Caenorhabditis elegans: one gene and its partner. The protein of the gene in region 2 interacts with the protein of the main gene of each other region in a biochemical or structural test. Each region holds a gene or a part of one and is shown on either strand. Other genes may lie near its edges. The genes, in order: nap-1 and his-7.

Evidence for each region.
Region 1: the proteins of his-7 (region 2) and nap-1 are reported together in a solved structure, tested with the Caenorhabditis elegans proteins (one study listed by BioGRID).

What each region holds. Positions count from the first base shown.
Region 1 is NC_003282.8:8,377,166-8,381,367, reverse strand, and holds nap-1 (Nucleosome assembly protein 1-like 1), read left to right. Parts: upstream 1-2,048; 5' UTR 2,049-2,056; coding exon 2,057-2,182; intron 2,183-2,227; coding exon 2,228-2,395; intron 2,396-2,426; exon of another isoform or gene 2,427-2,548; intron 2,549-2,580; coding exon 2,581-2,748; intron 2,749-2,794; coding exon 2,795-3,283; 3' UTR 3,284-3,663; downstream 3,664-4,202. Other genes in the region: praf-3 (PRA1 family protein), read right to left, coding at 388-485, 885-1,094, 1,280-1,378; D2096.7 (ELYS domain-containing protein), read left to right, coding at 3,738-3,920, 3,967-4,057.
Region 2 is NC_003283.11:8,531,201-8,534,345, forward strand, and holds his-7 (Histone H2A), read left to right. Parts: upstream 1-2,178; coding exon 2,179-2,562; downstream 2,563-3,145. Other genes in the region: otpl-5 (Otopetrin-2), read left to right, coding at 1-34, 101-804, 904-1,010, 1,060-1,265; his-8 (Histone H2B 2), read right to left, coding at 1,515-1,886. UniProt on the Caenorhabditis elegans protein: Core component of nucleosome. Nucleosomes wrap and compact DNA into chromatin, limiting DNA accessibility to the cellular machineries which require DNA as a template.

The DNA of each region.
Region 1 (4,202 bases), on a different chromosome or scaffold from region 2:
TATTTTATTAATCATTTATATAAAGGGTTTTTTAACTTTTGATTATTAGGTAATTTTATTTAAAGGTGACGTAGAGCCGTTTGGTGATGGACTGTAATAACCATATTTTTTCAGACAGCTTTTCGCAAAAAAATATATGTGATTCTAGATTTTCAAGTCAATTTTGAAAATTTTAGCGATTTTCCGGCTTTCAAGGAGTTCAAAAATAAATATATCTTTGTTTTAATTTCAGCAAAATTAAAAAAAAAACACATTAAGAATTTTATTTTTTACAGTTATATTTGATTATTAAGTCCATTTATAACTGCGACAAATTTACATTAAATAAGAATATTGTCCACTTATGAAAACAGTTTTACAACATTAGTAATTTTTTATAAAACTTACGCAAAGGCAACCACAAGAACGGATTGGAAGACAGAAATGAAGAAATAGGCAACGAGAATTATTCCTCCAAGAGTGACCAATGGATGATCCGTGCGCATCTTAAAACTTGATTTTTTTTTGGTAATTCTTGGTTTCAGTAATTGTTTTTGGACCAATTTTATGTGCCATCATGTTTTAATCTATATTTTTCAATTATTTTTTTAGCTTTAACTTGCAAAAAAACGATTATCACAACAATAATTTTCATCAACGAAGTGCACAAACTGTTACGTGAAACATATGTTAACTTATCCTATTCAGGTAAACGGTAAAAACGAGCTCTTTTTATTTTTTACGGTGGACATGGCTTAATTTTATGCTGCTGCGTTTTGCATCTGAAACTTGAACTTAAACTAATTTTGAATTCCAAATTCCAATAAAACTTTGTACCTATCAATTCCGTCAACAATTCGAATTTCTTATCAATATAAAAACATCACATTCCCGTCAATCATTACCTTTTTGATATTTGCATCAGCCGAGACAGCAAAGATTAGAGTTGCAATTACGGCGACAACGGCGATAAGACCGACGAAAATGTCCTGGCTACTGATGAACGTGTGCAGAAGGAATAAAGTGATGATTGTAACAAAGTAGTTGGTTTGAAAGTACAGAAGATTCGAGATTATTCGATTGTTCCATTTCTTGAAGTCGTTAAATGGTGGACGCTGAAAATCAATCAATTGGATTTTTATCTTTTGAATATTGAAATAAAAAACTCGATTATTTTTAAATTAAACTCTAAGTAAAAATTTTAAACGACCACTTTAGTCAAACTTCAACATATGTAAATATATTTTCTACAAAAGTTGGCCCTTCTTTAAAAATATATGTAATAACAATTCAAGCCTACCTCGTATCGATCGGTTTCCAGCAGAAACTCGTGAAAATTTCTGAACGGTGGCACTTCCACGCCATTCATAATTTGCATATTTTCTGAGGACGTCGTCATTTTTCCCTGAAAATAACAATGAATTTGAAAACTCGCTAAGATTTTCGGAAGTTGAAAATATTTAAAGTAAAGTGAGAAGTTTTGTGCTGAACGGGGGAACATCTGGCGTCGAATGCTATGTGTAATATTCTAATAGCTTAAGGAACTTCGAGAGAATCGAGAAAACGAGAAATATGATTCCAAGATGTGGGTTATTTGAAGAGCTATCAAATTTTAGAATTTGAAACGCAAAAAACTGTTTATTTAAAAAAAAAAGTGCCTACAATTAGTTTCAAATGCAATCAAATTTCAGGAGAATTTACTATCATAACAAATCCATACTTTTATAAATAAAAATCAATACAATTATTATATGTAAATCACCAAAACAAACCAGAAAACAAACGACAATATGAAAACATTGATAAAAAATAATATAGGCATGAAAGACCATCTCGTAAATAATAAGCTTGTGTGCGCCTTTAACCGCGGGTCTCACCGCGAAGAGACATTTTATGGAGGAGGAGCGAAGTGGTTGTTTGGAAAATATATTTTCAACTCTCGTCCTATGATTTTAGACAGCACTGCTTCGTTTCACAATAATTTTACAGATTTTTTCTCGAATTTTCGAAAATCATCGTATTTTTTTGCTTGAAAGAGTATGCCAAAATCATCTATTTATGCTTTGTAGGTAATAAAATGGCTGATCAAGAGCATATTGACGCTGGACTTCTCAGCACCAACTTCGACATGATTCAGGCTTTGCCTCTCAATGTCAAGCAACGCGTCTGCGCTCTCAAAAACCTTCAAATGAAGACAATTCAGGTTAGTTTTCTTTGTTTATGTTCTTAAGTATATAATTTATTTCAGATTGAATCTGACTTCTACAAACGTGTTCACGAGCTCGAGATCGAGTTTGAAGGAAAGTTCAAATCCACTTTCGATCAAAGAAAGGCTATTGTCGCGGGAGAGGTCGAGCCAACTAAAGAACAAATCGACACTCCAATCCTCGAAGGACTCGAGGGAGATCAACTCGCTGTAAGTTCCTAATCAAGATTCCCTATATAGCCTGCAACTATTCAAGAGATTTGCCTCCCGTGGGGCACGCCTTTTTTCGTTGCGAAATAAAACATGTCCTTTATTCCCGCTCCTGGATTGTGTTTCTTGCGCGATGATATGGCTATGACAATTCCAGCTTATTAGTTGACATTTCTTTGTTTCAGGAATTGTACAAAGCTGCGGAGGCTGACCCATCAGCAAAGGGGATCAAGGATTTCTGGCTCACCGCTCTCAGAACCCATGATCTTGTTGCTGAAGCCATCGAGGAGCATGACGTACCAATCCTCTCATATCTCACTGATGTGACGACCGCCGCTAGCAAGGATCCAGCCGTAAGCGCATTTCATTGTTTTCGAAAGTTAATGTTTTGAACTTCAGGGTTTCAAAATCGAGTTCCACTTTGCCACCAACCCATACTTCAAAAACCAAGTTCTTACCAAGACCTACTTGCTCGGTTTCGACCCAGATGCGGAGGCACCACTCCAATTCGATGGACCACATGTCATCCGCGCTGTCGGAGATACTATTGAGTGGGAAGACGGCAAGAACGTCACCAAGAAGGCTGTCAAGAAGAAGCAAAAGAAGGGAGCTAATGCTGGAAAGTTCCTCACCAAAACTGTGAAAGCAGATAGTTTCTTCAACTTCTTCGAGCCACCAAAGAGCAAGGACGAGAGAAATGAAGATGAGGACGATGAACAGGCAGAGGAGTTCCTTGAGCTCGACTACGAGATGGGACAAGCTATCCGTGATACCATCATTCCACGTGCTGTTCTTTTCTACACTGGAGAACTTCAATCAGACGATATGTTCGATTTCCCAGGAGAGGACGGTGATGATGTGTCAGACTTCAGTGACGATGAGGCTTAAGCAGTATCGATGGACCACTTATTAATTTGCCAATTTTTGAAATTATTAATTTTCCATTTTCTTTTTTAAAATTTTTTTGATTATTCCCAACCCCTTCACATAATAGGCGGAAAACCGATTGTTGCTGTTACTTGTTGTTGTCGTTTATTCCCTGACCTATCCATATTCCGCTTCTCCCAATCTCTAAAGATATACCTGAAAACGAGTTGTCGTCGAAATACTTGATACATGTTGTCTTCATCCTGGTGTATGTTGTTTCGCAAATTCTTCATACTAGTTATGATAGGATTTGAATGAGCTGGCACGAGTCGACTTTGAACTCGAATTTCAATATTTTCGTGATCCTGCATTAAGTGATGAATAAAATCCCTTGTTGCGAATTTCAGTCCTTCTGAGGTCTTGCCATCTGGAACATCTTTCAGGAGAGATCGTCTATTTCAAAACCCTCTGCATTATGTTGGACGGCTACCAACTCCTCTTAAAAGCACAGTGCTCGGAATCGCTAGACTTGCTAGGACTGTCACAAGCAGAGATATTGATTATCATCGAAAACGAAAGACGATATGATGTGAAAACTCGTCTCTGCGAGAGGATTGCTTTTTTAATTTACCAAGACTCGAACTTTGGACGTTTACCGGTATCACCCAACACATTCCTTTCAGATGTATTTAATTGTTCTTCAGCACAACTCTTCGGAAGTTTTCGCGTCCATCAACAGATTATGTAAATCAATGCCAACTGGTTTTTCATTTGAAGGTAGATATTCAAATTATGGTAATCTTCTTATTATTATCTCAATTATACAGTTTGGTGTTACCTAAAAGTTCTAGTCTCAATAGACAAATACTTGTTACTTTCCCAAAATATTTGAAGAACAGAAAAAGTATTTGCACACATTTTCGAGTTAAATGTCGTCGGT
Region 2 (3,145 bases):
TTGGAATTGGCTGTCCATTTGCCTTATTAAATCTGTAAGTGATAGCTTAAAACTTATTTATAAGCGAACTTTGTAAGTAAAAAATGAAATTTAATTGCAGAGCATAAAACACGCCAAAAAAGAAATCAAATACACCTATGAAGGATCCGACAACGAAACTAAAACCGAGATCTTGACGGAAATGTCATATGATTTTACAACTGACTCTTTTGGACCTCACGATAAACAATTGAGAGCCATTATTAAACTTGGCAGTAGCTCAAGCATCTTGCTCACATGCCTAGTAGAGTTTTCTCTAATTGCTGCTGTAATTTGTTTCATAATTTGGAAGAATGATGACTCGAATTCAGGAGAAGCTCTGAAGAAAAAGAAAAAACGACATTTCCGATTTGACTGCAGTGGCACCACAGTTGGAATATTTCTGGCAGTTGCTGTTCATATTATCTCAGCAGTTGCAGTTGGAATGCATGGAATTCTTTCAAAAAGTAATCGAGATTCTGCTGCAAATCTACTTGTTGGATACACTGATGTATTTCTGTTCGTTGTTGCACTTCTTGCTTGTATTCTAGCATTCTTTCAAATGCGAAAACTACAATATAGGCTTCATGCTCACGGAGAAGTCATTGATGAGATTCTGTTAATTGTGGGATTAGCTGGAGAATGTGTGTACTCATGTGCTGGAATGGATTTATATATCAATGACAAGATGATTAAAGAACCTGCTTCATACATTACAATTGTATCATTCACATTGAGAATCACCGAAGTCTTGGTTCAAACAATTTTTATCCTTATTGCTACTAGGTATGTTTCGGCTAAAACGTCTCACTTTTAATATTCGGGGCTACGGTTGTAACGACTACGAGAAAATATCTTATTTTGCTTTGCATGAAAATATTTCAGAATGAGATGCTACACCCAGACCAATTGTTACACTGAGCCAGGAAAACAAGTGATAACATTTCTTCTCGTATGTAATATCAATCTATTTATCTATCACACATTCGAAAGTAAGTTCAGTAACGAGTTGTAATCTAACTAATACTAATTTTTTTCCAGCTACTGAATTGAACTTTGGATTTCCCATCAAACTGCCTGATAGCTACTCCGCTATGCTTAATATAGCTTCGCCAATTGTAGTTTTCTATCGGTTTCACAGTTCAGCATGTTTGGCGGAGATTTGGAAACATACGTATTCAAGAAAGAACCATAATGTTGTAACAGATAATACAGTTGATCCTCTCGTGGTAGTAAAGAAAATGTGATCGATAATGAATTGCCTCTGAAAACATTCTACAACAATAAAAATTAGAATCCCAGTTTGATAGAACAAGTACATAAAAATGTTTATTTTCTGAATGTGTGTTTGATGAATCGCCACAATACAAAACTGAATACCAGTTTGATGAATATAATCGAAATTATACGAATATTTGCATTGATAAAGGATTTTCACAAATGTGGCCCTAAAGAGGGCCGTTGGGTTCGGTGATTTGCTTTCAGCAATTGAATGCTTACTTGCTAGAGGTGTACTTGGTGACAGCCTTGGTTCCCTCGGAGACGGCGTGCTTGGCAAGCTCTCCTGGAAGAATCAAACGGACGGCAGTTTGAATTTCGCGAGAAGAGATGGTGGATCTCTTGTTGTAGTGAGCAAGACGAGATGCTTCAGCAGCGATACGCTCGAAGACGTCGTTGACGAAAGAGTTCATGATGGACATAGCCTTGGAAGAGACTCCAGTGTCTGGATGAACCTGCTTGAGCACACGGTAGATGTACACGGAGTAGGATTCTTTACGGGCATGACGTCTCTTCTTTCCGTCCTTTGGCTTGGTGACGGTCTTGGCGGCTTTCTTTGCTCCTTTAGCAGACGGCTTTGGTGGGGCCATTTCGATTGATTGGACTGGTCGTTGGGCAAGTGTAAGGAATGGGTTGATGGTAATTTCTTTTATAACAATTTTTCGGTGGAAAGGAGGAGCCTATTGACATTCTGTGGGGACATCTTTCTATGCTGTCTCTCATGCCGAATGTACAAAGTGCACAGTTTTTCTTGGTCACTCTGCCACCTCCCCCATCTGTCTTATCTCTATGTGCCCGCCTAGTCACCGCAGCTGTGTTTAAAAGGGTGCTGTCTAATGGTCTTCTTCAGATTGTTTCTACATCTACCAACCTATCACCACCATGTCTGGACGCGGAAAGGGAGGCAAAGCCAAGACCGGAGGAAAGGCCAAGTCCCGCTCATCAAGAGCCGGACTCCAATTCCCAGTTGGTCGTCTTCACCGTATTCTCCGTAAAGGAAACTACGCTCAACGTGTTGGAGCCGGAGCCCCAGTTTACCTGGCTGCTGTTCTTGAGTACCTCGCTGCTGAGGTTCTCGAGTTGGCTGGAAACGCTGCCCGTGACAACAAGAAGACCAGAATTGCCCCAAGACATCTCCAACTTGCCGTCCGTAACGACGAGGAGTTGAACAAACTGTTGGCTGGAGTGACCATCGCACAAGGAGGAGTTCTTCCAAATATCCAAGCTGTTCTTCTTCCAAAGAAGACTGGAGGAGACAAGGAATAGATGCCTTCTTAAAACAACTTACCGAACCCAACGGCCCTCTTTAGGGCCACAAATATCTTAATCCTGAGTTAAATGTAAATAAAATTGTATTTTAATAATGTTTATTAGTTGTTGTATATATTGAAATGATTTTAAGCAAATGAAGTGAGAAATTTTGGTACATTGCTCTAGTCTACGTTCAAATGTGTATGACATTTTTGTAATAGTGAATTTTGTTTAAAATTCAAACAAATTGGCGTCAAAATTTTTTGTCTTCATAATAATGTCCTTGGAAATGACCTCGCTGAATAATCTGATTGAAATAATCCTTCCTGTTGATTCAAATACACATAGATGCACTTTCTCATTGAAACAAAGATATTGTGACGTCACAACGCAGACAATTGTTTACTTGACCTGTATTCAGAATGAGAAATTGGTGACGTTTCTAATGCCACTTGCTGCGTTTTCAATGGAAAAGGAGATAACATACAGAATTGATTTCGTAGTTCGAGAGAATATTATGCTTTGCAGGTGTTAACTTTACAGAAGTTAAAAGAAGTTTTTACAATTTAATTTGTATTCAAAATGAAGAATGAAGACA